Stegostoma tigrinum: one gene and its partner. The protein of the gene in region 1 interacts with the protein of each later gene in a pairwise test. Links are inferred from orthologs where the notes say so. Each region holds a gene or a part of one and is shown on either strand. Other genes may lie near its edges.

Region 1 (7,611 bases):
TGTATGCATTTGAATGTTACAAGAGAAAAAAGTCAGCATAAAAACCCATTGTATATGTATATTGCAACATTGCTTTGATTAAGAATTTAAGCCCCAAATCAACTTCCAAAACTGTATTGCTGCATTTGTACTTGTTAGCAATTCCTCCTACATCCAAGACACACAAAAGCTCGTAAGCATAGAAACTTACATGTATCAAAATCCTCTCCTTACTCCTTTACCAATGAATATATTTGAAATGAGATGCAACTATTAATTATTAGGTAGGTTTAACATACAATGAATGGCTGAGGATCCTGGGATTGTATTCATTAGAGTTTAGAAGGTTGAGGGGAGATCTAATAGAAACTCAAGATAATGTATGGCTTAGAAAGGATGGATGCTGGGAAGTTGTTTCCGTTAGGCGGGGAGACGAGCACCTGTGGGCACAGCCTTAGAATTAGAGGGGGTAGATTTAAAACAGCAATGAGGAGACATTTCTTCAGCCAGAAAGTGGTGGGCATGTGGAATTCACTGCCACCGAGTGCACTGGAGGCCGGGACGTTAAATGTCTTCAAGGCAGAGATCGATAAATTCTTGATCTCACAAAGGAATTAAGGGCTACAGGGTGAGTGCAGGGAAGTGGAGTTGAAACGCCCAGACATGATTAAATGGCAGAATGGACTCGATGGGCCGAATCGCTTTACTTCCACTCCCATGTCTTATGAAGCCTATAGAATCCTTTCCCCTTCCTCAACTTTCACCTGTTGAAATATTAGTATAGACAGCTTTTCAAAGAAAATTTATGCCTCCAACCAACCACAGTTATACATCTCATTTAGTTTTGGGCCCACTCCAGAAACCTGGTTAACTGTGGACACAACATATGTAGCTTTTACTGAGGTTTTTCTAATTTTGACTTCTAGGATGAGAAGCTGCCATCCACAGGTCCAGTAAAGCTCTAATTCGGTCAATCCTGCATTCATTGAATGATTACAACCAAAATAGTTTAAAGGTCAGTTTAAACTAATAACCAATTTCAGTAACAGCTTAAAGTCTATTTTTCCTTTCCCATAAGAACCCTCAATTCTGTACCCAAGTCCCAAGTAGAATAACTATCGATAATAAAGGCTTCCTCGTTCTCCACTGCAGCCCTTCCCAGTTTATTGATGAACACTAGACACCCATGGTCAATGCCACAGATGACAGGAGACTGACCCTTAAAAGTTTAAATTAGCAGGTCTCAACAAACGACACAAAGAATCAAAAGGCTCAATTTTTAGGATGCGAGGTGTAAGTAATTTTAGGAGCATTACTGGGCTAAACGTTTGAATTGTTTTATGTAGGCTTTATTCAGCAGTGAACGTACAAACTTGACTTTTTTTAATACCAAATCCCGGATATGAATGTAAAAATATACCACAGTCAAGACTTCAAATTTATTAAAAAAAAGAAAAAGTCACACAATGGCCAGCGATTTTCAATACCAGTAAAAGATATTGAAGAGGACGACGAAAGTCACCCCATGTTCTTTAACCGGAAACATGCAAATGTTGAGTTCCCACTAAAATCATTAGGACATTAGAGAGTTCACGATTAACCTTTGGTACGCTACCAGAGGGTAACGTATATGAACCCAAAAATTAAACCTTGCTGCATCCAAAAGTTACAGAATCAATTTGAACTAAGTCACACGCGGTCCCCACAGTACCGTCAAACAAAAAGAAATTTCAGATCCTATGCGCGACTCCATTTTGGCACAGTGCCAACAGTTAAAAACATTCTTTAAAAATGTAAAATGAGCCACGCCGATATAAAGAGCCGATCGGTTCGTAGCAAGTGTTGCGCGATTTTGGTGGGGTGGAAAAAAAATCGAACCGACTTTTCAAAAGTTGCAAAATCCCAAATGGTGCAGTTTTTAAAAAAAAATCAATTTAATCACACCAGATTCGAAAATACGTATAGAGGACTGGGGAGATGAATCTCTACGCAAAGTATTTGTTACGAAACGTTGTACTGGCTGACCCTCGCCCTCTTCTCCTTTCCCCACCCCGACTAGGCCTCGACGCTAACGGATCGCCAGGAAAGGGACACACTTCCGCCCCGTCGGTGAAAACTCCGCCTCGGAGTCTCCCAAGGGCGAGGGAGCGTGGCGGCAGTGGCAGCCGGTCAACACTAGCGGAGCGGGCCCGGCTTCGTCGTCGGCTTTCACACGTTGACCCCCGCAGCTTTGTGGCGCAGCTACGTTCCTGCGGGGGAGGTGCGCTCTCGCTCTCACACACACACACATCCCGAGGCCCCAACGGCTACAAGGCCGGCCAATCCACCAGCCTCCCTTTTCTTCACCCTCCCTCACCACTCCCCCCCCCCACCACCAACAAAAAAAAATCACCCGACACGCGATATCGGGGACTGAGGCCTAAACCCTCTTCCAATCTTTTCTAAAAAAAACGCCTCCTAGATGGTATCTTAAGTGGGGGGGGGGGGGGGGGGTGTGGGGAGAAGAAAGAAAAAAAACTCGATGTAATCGCCGGCGACCAACAACCCTTTTCAGAAAATAAAATAACACCGGTGGTGAGGTCGAAAGCAGAAAAGAACCGTTATCGTCCGGGGGTGGGTGGGGTAACCGGGCATACGACCCGAGCGCCTTTAAATCCGATGCCAACAGTTAGAGACTCCCTCTTACCCGTCGACGCCATCTTCACCGACCTCTGACTGCCTGCGAAACACGCCTGCGCGGAGCCCCGCCGGACTCAACCACTTAATTTGGCGCCTTGCGCAACTCGCGCCGGAAATGTTTTAATTCAAAAAAAAGGGCCTCGACTCCAATCGCCACGATCCCGCCCGAGTTCTCAAATTGTTACGCAGATATTACAGGTGGACACCGCCGACGACCCCTTCCCCTCTGCTTTACATAGGATTGTCAAAACGAAATTTAAAAAAAAACGATGATTACGAAAGAACGGGGCTGGCCTCTATCCGCCGATTCGCGGCCGAGGCTTTATGTTTAAATGTCTGCCTCCACGTCGCGCTATTTAAAGACAAGGCGGCGCACTGATGCGTCCAGCGTAACGCGGTAAACCGTTCGGGTAGAACAATGGAGGGAATGTAGCGCCTTGTTGATGGTTCCGGGCCGGTCGCGATGGAAACGCGGCCATTTCGCTTCAGCCACCATCACTATGCGTACCTCGTATCCCCGCTTCTCTTTTCTTTCGATTCTCTCCTCCATTGCGTTGGGCGCGCGGACATTATGTCTTTCCTCACGGGTTTGAAAGCGGGCTGAAATAAAACGCACCGTCTCCACTGTCATACAATCCGTAACCTTGCACGGAGGTTTTGTTTTAATATAATCAGATCCGCCATAACGTGGCTGTAGTAAAGACAACACCGCCCTTCACTCCTTCAAGTCTCCCTCCCTCTCTGCTCGACGCCAGTCAGCGATGCTCGGTCCTGTTGTGGGGTGTATCTCAGGGGTGTGGTGGGTGTCTCCACCCCGGTAAAGAGCCAACGAAGAGGGAGGCCGGTGATCGGGCACCGAGTAAGAAGGTCTTCGGAGGAACTCCACACCCACCCCGATATTATTATTATCATCATCATGATGTCGCGGCGACAATAATCAAGACATTTTCTTCTCCGACCCGCCGGGGGTTGGGATGGGACGCTGCGGCGACTGGGTGCGGGCCGGCCTCGGGGTGGCCCGAGTCAGGGCCCGGGTGCCGAGCGCCAGCGCCGCCTTCCTCGCCCTTGTTCTCTTGTTGTGGCTGACCGGGCCCGAGGAGGCTTTTACCCTGACAGCCAGCTCGGTGCTCTCTCACCGCCAAGGTAAGTGCCTCATCCTCATCCACCACCAAATTAGCAAATTTACTGGATGGTGGGACTAAATCCTAATCCGAGATAACTCCATAGCAAACTGTCCAAAACACACCGAGCCTCTGACTTGACGACCGGATTGGGCCAGAAATTCTGCCTGTAGTGTTTTGGACGAATACTTGGGTAAAAATAACGTGCAAGAGTATGAGAGGAGTAAAAATAGGTGACTGGTACTAAGAAAATGATGCCTGTTTGATGAGTTGGTGCAGGCAAAATGGATCGAATGGTCTCCGTCTACGCTGTAACACTTAATGTGAGTTGCATCCTAGTTTAGATGTTAAAAATGGTAAAGTTTGCTTCGGTTATCATTTATATGTGGAAATACAGTCATAGAGTTTTACAGCATAGTAGGACGCCCTTTGGCTCATTGTATCGATGTAGGTTCGTCAGGCACCTGTCTACTTTCGTCCTAATTCTCAGCACTTGGTCCGTAGCCTTGTATGCTGTGACACTTCAAGTGTACATCTAAACACATCTTAAATGTTGGCCACCGCCTTTCAGCCAGAGTTCCAAATACTCAATTTCCCTCTGCGTGACAAAATCTTCTGCTTAGATCTCTTTTAAAGCTCCTGCCCTTACCCTAAATTTGTGTTTCTTGTATTAAGGGGGAAAATATATTCCTATTGACCCCACCTGTGCCCTCCATAATTTGTATACTTCAACCAGGTCCTGCATCAGCCTTCTCTGCTCCAAGCAAAATGAATGAGTTGTCGGTGGAAATGGTGGAGGCTGGTACAATTATGACATTTAAAAGACATCTGGATGGATATAAGAATAGGAAGGATTTAGAGGGATATGGGCAAAATGCTGACAAATGGGACTAGATTAATTTAGGATATCTGGTTGGCGTGGACAAGTTAGACTGATACATTTGTTTCCGTGCTATACATTTCTATGATTCCAGAGATACAATTCCAGCTATGGTCTAACCTGCATCTGACACAGCTCCATCAAAACCTCCTTGTTCTTGTATTCACTACCTCACTCAATAAAGGCAAGAATCCCATATGCCGCCTTAACTATCCTATCCATCTGTATTGTTGCCTTCAAGGACCTATGAACATGCACAGGCCTACTTCATCATGTACTCCTTTACCTTGCTGTTCTTCCCAAAATACATGTGACATGCTTTTTGGCATTAAACCCAGTTTCTAACTTTTAGCCATTTGAGGAAACCAACCATATCTTCCCACAGTCTAAAGTTTTTGTCCTCACTGTTTACAACACTTGTTTTTTTTTGTTACCTACAAACTGATTAAATCACCAACATCCATGACTAAATCATTAATGCAAACTAACCTGTGGTATGTCACTGGACGAGACATTCAGTTGTAAGAACAACCTTCAATCAGCACCCTGTGTGTCCTGCCACTGAGCCAATTTTAAACTGCCCAGGATTTGAAGCATCCATCAATTTGAAAGGAAAGTGGAAAAGCAAATCTTTTAATTTTAGGAATACAGACATTTACTTGCCAGATTCCTTTTATATCCAGGAAATCTGAAATCAATATAATGTTCATTACCTTTCCCATACACTATAGTTCATTTGACATGTATTTATAGACCAACGATTATTACATTTTTATTGCATTCCTTGTAATATTGTATAAAGATGAAAATGGTTTACATGTATTTGGACTAAAGATGTTTAAAACACAGATGTGTCTGTGGCACTACTTTACTGAGCAATTAGAAGCTAATTCACAAATTCCGATTAAAGCTTTTCAATGCAAAATGCCCGCAGATTTCTCGACTCCTCAGTATTTTGTGCATTTTGTATTTCTGTATCAGGTTCCCAGCTGCAGCAGTATTTTGCACTGGCATAAATTAACCCCATAGCCCCTGGCTTTCTCCTTTGGAATGCTTTGCTGGCCCAAAGAAATTTACCCTAAAAATCCTAAAGAAGTACAAACAATTACTTTGGGCAAACAAGTGCCTGTTTGGCTGAATGATAACATTCTGATCTGCAAGTAAGGAACATAGAACATTACAGCACAGTACAGGCCCTTCGGCCCTCGATGTTGTGCCGACGTGTCATACCAATCTGAAGCCCATCTAACCTACACTATTCCATGTACATCCATATGCTTATCCAATGACGGCTTAAATGTACCTAAAGTTGGCAAATCTACTACTGTTGCAGGCAAAGCGTTCCATTCCCTTACTACTCTCTGAGTAAAGAAACTACCTCTGATATCTGTCCTATATCTTTCACCACTCAATTTAAAGCTATGCCCCCTCGTGCTCGCTGTCACCATCCTAGGAAAACGGCTTTCCCTATCCACCCTATCTAACTCTCTGATTATTTTATATGTTTCAATTAAGTCACCTCTGAACCTTCTTCTCTCTAATGAAAACAGCCTCAAGTGCCTCAGCGTTTCCTCGTAAGACCTTCCCTCCATACCAGGCAACATCCTAGTAAATCTCCTCTGCACCCTTTCCAAAGCTTCCACATCCTTCTTATAATGCGGTGACCAGAACTGTACACAATACTCCAAGTGCAGCCGCACCAGAGTTTTGTACAGCTGTGGCATAACCTCTTAAGTGGCAACTTTAAATGCCACATTTTCATTTTCTAGACTGACAATTCAGTGCGCTATTAAATGATCATCACATGATTGGAAATGTTCATTTTCGAGTGAGATCTTTCAGCTGGAGCTAAAATAGCTCATGGTAAAAGAAAACATAGTTGTGTTCCCAAATGTAGTGATCAATGTTTATTCTTCAACAGCAAAAACCCCAAATATATATTTCAAAGATAGTAAGAACTGCAGATGCTGGAGAATCTGAGATAACAAGATTAGAGCTGGATGAACACAGCAGGCCAAGCAGCATCAGAGGAGCAACGAAGCTGACGTTTCAGGCCTAGTCCGTTTTTCAGAAATGGGGGAGGGAACGGGGTTCTGAAATAAATAGGGAGAGAGGGAGAGGTGCATGGAGGGGGAAGATAGGTGGAGAGGAGACAGACAGGTCAAAGAGGTAGGGATGGAGCCAGTAAAGGTGAGCATAGGTGGGGAGTTAGGGAGGTCAGTCCAGGGAGGAGGGACAGGTCAAGGGTGTGGGATGAGGCTGAGGTTTTCTGGATGATCAGTTATTTTGATAGAGACAAAACTCTCTAGACTCAACAATTGGAGGTAATAGATTTAAAGTTATTGCGGTAAGAAGAGCGAAGATGTGGATTTTTCTTTTAGTTTTCAGTGTCTGGAATGCTCTACCTCCGCAGGTGATGGAAGCTGATTCATAAATAAATATAAATATAACCATACTAGAGGATAAATAAGGGTTATGGGATTTTAAAAAAAACATGGGGGTTTAAAAATGTCTGCTCTTTCAAGGACAGGCCAAATGGCTTCCTTCTGTGTTGTAAGTTCCTATGATCAAACAGACTATACTTCCCGAATAATGAATGAGCTACAAGATACTTTCAGCCATTCTGAAGATGTGTCTGTCTGCTATAAGTGCAAATTCTTTCACTGTCAGAGTAGATAAATACAGCAAGAAAATTATGCAGAGTAAAGTTGCAAAGGAAGTAAGTTAATTAGCAGTTCCTTGTTTGTGGTGTTGGTTGAAAGATGAATTAGGAGAACTTCCTCCTGGTTTACTGTAGAATCTTCTGCTCGATTTTTAGCGGATAGGTGTTAAATAGTGCGACAAAGTCTCACTAATGAGCAGCGAGAGGCTCATTTGCTTGCATTAACATCTTTTTATTACTTAATTTCATTTCATTAATATTTAGTTTTCCATTCTCCCGTCTGCCAAGTA
Region 2 (7,380 bases), about 9.2 Mb from region 1:
GGGACTGAATGTATAATGGCTAAATTTGCTGATAACGCCAAGATAGACAGAAAAGTAAGTTGTCAATGGGAAGACAGCCTGCAATTGACAATAGAAAGATCAAGTATGTGAGCTAAAATTAGGCAGATGGGACATGTGGGTTGATGTGAATTTGTTCATTTTGGCAGGAACAATAGAAAAATCAGTCTACTGTTCAAATGGAGAGAGGTGGCAGATGTTGGTGCTACAGCGATCTGAGTAAGTAACATGTCTCCTATAAGAAATTGGCGCAGCTACTTTTCTTTCAGAATGTCATTATTTTGTGGAATTCTCTTCTTCAGAAAACAATGGAGGCCAGGTCATTAATTTTATTCAAAGTGGAGTTAGATAGATTTTAGATTGACAAGCAAATCAAAATGATCTTATGGATTGGAAGGCCAGGCTCAAAAAACTGAACAGCCTACTTAATTTATTCCTGTGAGAAACAGACATAAATGCCCAGTCCTGAGGAAGGGTCACCGGACCCGAAACATTAATTCTGACTTCTCTTCACAGGAGCTGCCAGACCCGTTCAGCTTTTCCAGCAACTTCTGTTTCTGTTCCTGATTTACAGCATTGCAGTTCTTTTGGTTTTTAAAAAAATGCCCCTTTGTCTTTTAATTACATTCAGGCAGAAATAGGCATCTTCCATCAATTTCTCCATCCATGCCCCAAGCAGTACATTTGGGATTTCTCATGTAACATGCAAAACTACAATGCCATGTGGATTAACACAAAGCCATGTTCCAGAATATTCGGTTAAATCATGTTTGAATGTTGCAAATTTTTCTCCCAATATTTCTTCACTTTTTATTCCCAGTTTCCTGTACCCAACTTGCTGCGAGTGTTATTTTGATCTGACCATCAAAAAAATAAGAATATCTTCTGGAATATTTCCTGCATACAATAATCACGTATCTATTCATCCACCTCAAAACAGCAGCTTGTCTTAGATCCAGATCCCACTGGTGCAAGAATCTGTGTCCCAACATGGTGCTTCTACTGGCTGCCCCATCTTTTATGCTAATTGTCTTATGAATTAATGTCTCTAAAAGAGCTTGCAGGTACAATGTGCTTTATTAATTATAATTTTGTTCATTTGTGTGCATCTTACCATCAATTGCTGACTGCAGAAACTGCAGGGCAGCAGATTTCCAACTAAGATGGACATTAATATTTGGTAAGATTAATTGCACTTTTTGATCAGCACAAGGTTGCAGCCGGAGATATGTTTTCAAGTTTAAGCTGACTGCCAGAGCTACCTACAAATACAAAAATATTTAGCATTAGCAGCTGAGAGTTTCAAAAATAATACATTGTGTTCCAACTGCAGAAGAAAATAAAATGATTTCTGTCTGCTACAATAATACCAAACAAAAGCATTTAGTTTTAAAGATGCTGATTGCCATTTGCCTTAACACCTAGTTTGCCAAAGGAACAAAAAAAAGGAAAAATAAAACACTGTACAGTTCATTAATAAAAACTGAATATAGGAGAGTGACTACAGATTGAACAAATGATTTACCACGGTTGAAGAATTACCATTTCACCTGACTCTATGACATTTTATGCCAACTGAATTAAATCAAATGAACATTCAAACTTAAAATTAGTCACAAAGGAAGCAAGGTTACTATAGTATGAGTGAAAGAAAACAAAGCAGGGTGTGTCCCTGTGATCTTCAGCATTATATCTGCTTCTGACTTCATAGATGCTGCCCGGCCCACTGAGCTTTTCCAGCAGGTTTTTTTTAAATCAACCTGTTGTGTGAACTATACATGACCCCTGGCTTTCGAAAAATACCTCACAACCCTCCTTTATAAACTAAAATTAGTTATCAAAAGTTGCTAGACTAGCAATTAGTTGCATAAAAGAACCAAAAACTAGCTGGGTTGAAATGGCATATGCGCAAGAAAACAAACTGTGCTGCATCCTAAAGATTTGTGTTGCGAGACCTCTAATTTGTTCAGATACAAAATAAGAAGGAATCACAGTCTCAGGAAGGACACAGCAGAGATAGCATCACACTGGTAAACTCAAATGAGGAGCCATCTTTGAACTGGTGGCACATATAATCCCTCATGGGACAGAGCTTCACAAAGGGTGCGGTGAAATAGATCTTAAAAGCGTGGGTTGCCTTCTTGTTTACTGGCATCTCTAGATGTGATAAGCAAAGTAAACAGGGTTATATTGTCAAATTAAAACTTCTAACTCATATTTGGACTCCTGCACAGAGCATGTGGCCACCACCCAACAATGACAATTTTTCAGAACACTGGGTCAATACAAATATGAGCAATGAGAATGATCCTTGCTGTCAGAAGGTAACATTAAAAAGAAGACTTTACAGAGTGTTTATAACTAAATTCAGCCCAGACTCTACATCAGGCCTCTACTCTCAAATATCAAGGCAAGAAGTCCTGCATTCCAGGCTCACCTCATGTATACTCACCTCAAGTAGATGTCATTGGGAAAGGACATAGTTCCTGCAATCTCCTACTCACCTTGAGCTACACAATTGAGGTTAATCCCCAGGATTACTACAAAAAAGACCTGTTTCAGATATGGTACAGAAACGTGATGGGTATTTCTTGGCCAGGTGCTAGGAAGTCTTTCCTTATGCAGTGATTAACTGCTAGATACCTCTATCAAGAAGAGCAGCTGAAGCCAGAGCACTGGAATTATGCAAGAAGTAACCAGTTGCTTTTGTAATAAGATGTAATCTTGATCTAAACTTGGTGATCTATACAACGTGAATGTGAAAATTCAAGCCATCTAACTGAGGATGTTATCAACTGTTTATTCTCTTTATAAATCAGCAACTTCATGGACAAATTCAGATAGATTCCCTTGCTACCTGTAATTGCCGTTGCGGTTTTTTCCACACCATTTGTGCTTCTTGATGTGCTGAACTGATTGAAGTCAAACTAGCCCAAATCAAACCTGAGATTCTCTCTTTCATATACAAAATGCAATGCTCGTTTTTCCTTCAGTTACATGCCAGATTACCTTCCCATGCACCACTGCATGTTCTCCATGCAATATCAACTTCCCAGGAGCAGATATAATAAATGTCTTGTTTGCCATTGTGAAGTGTACCCTGAAAGACACAAATGTATTTACTTCTTGATTAGGATCCTAAAATCAGAGTCAAAATGATATGGCAATGAAGTTATTACAGAAGCCTTAAAAAAAGATTTATCATTAGTAAAATATACTACAATCCAACATTCATAGAATATACATATATGTGTTGTTTTGAATTCCAGCAGCACAATTTATTATCCATCCATCGTGAGCTACAAGAATTTCTGATGATTTCTGAGATGTTTGCTTCTTTTAAAATTGCCTACCAAACTTGAAACAAAAATAGAAATTGCTGGATATGCTCAGCAGGTCTCATGGCATCTACAGAGAGAAATCAGAGTTAACATCTCAGGTCAAGTGACAATTCCTCAGAACTCAGCAAACATGCATTTATATCACTTTTCAGGATGTTCCAAAGCACTTTGCTACCTATGACACCTGTTGAAGTGTAACGTAGAATGCACACACATATCTATATGCAGAATGTTCTGTGGGCATCAGCAAGATTCTGCTCTTTTAAGGGAATTCCTGAAGAAAATACTAGACTCAAAACACTAGCTTTGTCTCCACGGATGCTGCCAAGCCAGTTGAGTTTGTCCAACACTTTCTGATTATATTTCAGCTATCCAACATCTAAAGTATTTTGCTTTTAAGTGATGTTGGTTGAGGGATAAGTATTTGTCAGAGAAGTCCCACATGTTTTTTTCCTTCGAAGTAGTGCTTTGGGATCCTTTTGTATCCACAAGGATGCACGTTTCGCGCTGCGGCACTCCGTGGACGCCTTATTTGATATTCACCCTGAAAGCCAGGGTGTTGCACACCACATCATAGGCAACATCTTTGAACGTTAATGAAGCTGTGGCACTCACAAATCCTAACTTCTTATTTTATCCTGACCACAACCCAAATGCAATGGCTTCGCTTGATTTTGATTCCGATGAAGAAGGGTCCATTACCTGGAAGCTTCAGGAGCAGCTGCGTGTTTCCAGCATTTTCTGCTGTTTAATGAAACGTTTCATTCTACTATCAAAAGAGAGAGCGAGAGGTGAGAAGAGGTGGAAATTGTCCAAATTATTGACATTGATGTCGAACACCAAAAATATTTTAAAGACCCATCCAACGACACCACAGCTGCCGCCTCGCCACCAAAGCACCACCCTCAGGAGGCGGTGCCTCATTCCAACCCAGCCAATCAAATGGCAGCGCTCCGGTCACCACGCACCAACGAGGGAGCGAGATCCCCTGTTAATCGGACGCCGCTCCAACGCATCACGGCCGGGGCAGCACCTCCAGCCAAACACCGAGCTCTTGGAGAGTCACGACCAATCAAAGGATGGACTCTTTGTTTCGGAGCCAATGAACACGGCCCGGCTGATCGACGGGACGAGCCTAACCGACCAATGGGAGACGGAGAAGCCGGGAAGGGAGCGGGGTGGTTGTTCCGTGCACTGGCCAATGGGGTGATAGGGTTCCGGTGGCCTGACGGCGGCGCGAGCGCGAGGGGTCGGATGTTGGCGGTTTTTCTCCGGGCGGCTGCAAAGGGGCGCGGCTGCCGAGTACCGGCTGCCGCTTGGTTATGGAGAAGGCGGAGCTACTCCAGTGCAGACAGTGATGGGTGAGCGCTGTCTGAAGAGGAAGAACTAATAAGTTGGGGGGGGAGAGACGAGAAGGAGAGGTGTGTTAACATTGACGTGTATGTTAATGAAAGATGTGTTGACATCAGTCCTCACCGTAGGCCCCGTCGTTCACCGTCCACAAGAATGGAGATTTTCTTAAAAAACATCGTTTTGTGGGATATGAAAGATAATGGGAACTGCAGATGCTGGAGAATTCCAAGATAATAAAATGTGAGGCTGGATGAACACAGCAGGCCAAGCAGCATCTCAGGAGCACAAAAGCTTTTGTGCTCCTGAGATGCTGCATGGCCTGCTGTGTTCATCCAGCCTCACATTTTATTGTTTTGTGGGATATGAGCGTCGCTGGCTGACTAGCATTTATTGCATGCCTTCGTTGCCCTTGAGAAGGTGGCGATGAATTGCCTTCTGAACCACTGTTGCTCTGTCAGTTGGCCAACAATGCCATTAGGGAGGGAATTCCAGGATTTTGACTCAGCAACAGTGAAGGAATGGTGATTTTATTTCCAGCTCAGAATGGAGTGTGGCTTGTATGTATCTGCTGCTCTTGTCTTCCTAGGTAGAAGTGGTTTTGGGTTTGGAAGGTGCTGTCTCAAGATCTTTGACCTTCTTCAGGGCATCTTGTAGATAGTACACACTGCTGCTACTGAGCATCGGTGGTGGAGGCTGTTGGTGCTTGTGGATTACAGTGTGATGAAATACTCCCACATGCTCAGATGGATATAGCTCCAGCAACATTTGAGATGCTGCACACCATCCAGGACAAAATTCCCTGTTTGAATGGCATTGCATCTACTCCCCTCATCATTGTCATTCAGTAGCAAGCAGTACTGTGTACAAGATGCACTGCAGATAACACTGTACATTCCACACCTATGACCACTGTAGGAGGAGGACAGCAGCGATATAGAAACACTACCACCTGTATGTTTTCCTCTGAGCTACTTGCCACTCAAAATTGGTAATGTGTTTCTATACCTTCTGAGTCAAATTCCTTCCCAAACAGCACTGTTGGTGTACCAAATGGACTGGAGGGGTTTGGGAAGATAACTTCCTTGTCAGCATCAACCAGGGATGGCAATAAGTGCTGCCCCAGCTGGTGATGTCTGCATCCTTTTATTGAATAAAAGAAATTGACACTAGCTGAGGGAACATACAGTTTAAAAACAACAATAATGCCTGGAATTGAATTTATTGGACTCCCATTTGGAAGTACACAAGTACGTCAGGCTTGCTTGTTTTATTGTTTTTGTTTCCATCTGGCACTGCCTTCCTTTTGTTACTACTTTTTTGCCATACCAAACAAATGATGGGACCAGAGATAATGGGAACTGCAGATGCTGGAGATTCCAAGATAATAAAATGTGAGGCTGGATGAACACAGCAGGCCAAGCAGCATCTCAGGAGCACAAAAGCTGACGTTTCGGGCCTAGACCCTTCATCAGAGAGGGGGATGGGGGGAGGGAATTGGAATAAATAGGGAGAGAGGGGGAGGCGGACCGAGGATGGAGAGTAAAGAAGATAGGTGGAGAGGGTGTAGGTGGGGAGGTAGGGAGGGGATAGGTCAGTCCAGGGAAGACGGACAGGTCAAGGAGGTGGGATGAGGTTAGTAGGTAGCTGGGGGTGTGGCTTGGGGTGGGAGGAAGGGATGGGTGAGAGGAAGAACCGGTTAGGGAGGCAGAGACAGGTTGGACTGGTTTTGGGATGCAGTGGGTGGGGGGGAAGAGCTGGGCTGGTTGTGTGGTGCAGTGGGGGAAGGGGATGAACTGGGCTGGTTTAGGGATGCAGTAGGGGAAGGGGAGATTTTGAAACTGGTGAAGTCCACATTGATACCATATGGCTGCAGGGTTCCCAGGCGGAATATGAGTTGCTGTTCCTGCAACCTTCGGGTGGCATCATTGTGGCAGTGCAGGAGGCCCATGATGGACATGTCATCAAGAGAATGGGAGGGGGAGTGGAAATGGTTTGCGACTGGGAGGTGCAGTTGTTTGTTGCGAACTGAGCGGAGGTGTTCTGCAAAGCGGTCCCCAAGCCTCCGCTTGGTTTCCCCAATCATCCCAAAACCAGTCCAACCTGTCTCTGCCTCCCTAACCGGTTCTTCCTCTCACCCATCCCTTCCTCCCACCCCAAGCCGCACCCCCAGCTACCTACTAACCTCATCCCACCTCCTTGACCTGTCCGTCTTCCCTGGACTGACCTATCCCCTCCCTACCTCCCCACCTACACCCTCTCCACCTATCTTCTTTACTCTCCATCCTCGGTCCGCCTCCCCCTCTCTCCCTATTTATTCCAGTTCCCTCCCCCCATCCCCCTCTCTGATGAAGGGTCTAGGCCCGAAACGTCAGCTTTTGTGCTCCTGAGATGCTGCTTGGCCTGCTGTGTTCATCCAGCCTCACATTTTATTATCTTATAAATGATGGGACCATGTCAGTCCTGCTGTTGGCACCAGTTTTCTGCAGTAACAGGAAGATGGAGCCCCATTTAAAGGGAAAATAATAGATACGTTGAATATGATATGTTTGTAGTCTTTTTAATTCAATTTAATATATATGTAAGGTGTATGTGGGGATATAACACCTTTCATACAAATTAACACAATCATACAAAGAACTCAGATTCACTAAATGCTTCTAATCTTAAA

The links.
Region 2: the proteins of RNA-binding protein EWS-like (region 1) and mvk interact in a two-hybrid assay, tested with the Homo sapiens proteins (2 studies listed by BioGRID and IntAct). The two-hybrid records come from large-scale screens. The link is inferred for Stegostoma tigrinum from reciprocal best matches to the Homo sapiens genes EWSR1 and MVK.

What each region holds. Positions count from the first base shown.
Region 1 is NC_081379.1:21,259,528-21,267,138, forward strand, and holds the start of RNA-binding protein EWS-like, read right to left. Parts: upstream 3,010-7,611; 5' UTR 2,679-3,009; coding exon 2,666-2,678; intron 1-2,665. Other genes in the region: rhbdd3 (rhomboid domain-containing protein 3), read left to right, coding at 3,633-3,801. UniProt on the Homo sapiens protein: Binds to ssRNA containing the consensus sequence 5'-AGGUAA-3'. Might normally function as a transcriptional repressor. EWS-fusion-proteins (EFPS) may play a role in the tumorigenic process.
Region 2 is NC_081379.1:12,065,809-12,073,188, reverse strand, and holds the start of mvk (mevalonate kinase), read right to left. Parts: upstream 3,017-7,380; 5' UTR 2,981-3,016; coding exon 2,876-2,980; intron 1,281-2,875; coding exon 1,133-1,280; intron 238-1,132; exon of another isoform or gene 168-237; intron 1-167. Other genes in the region: mmab (corrinoid adenosyltransferase), read left to right, coding at 4,302-4,720. UniProt on the Homo sapiens protein: Catalyzes the phosphorylation of mevalonate to mevalonate 5-phosphate, a key step in isoprenoid and cholesterol biosynthesis.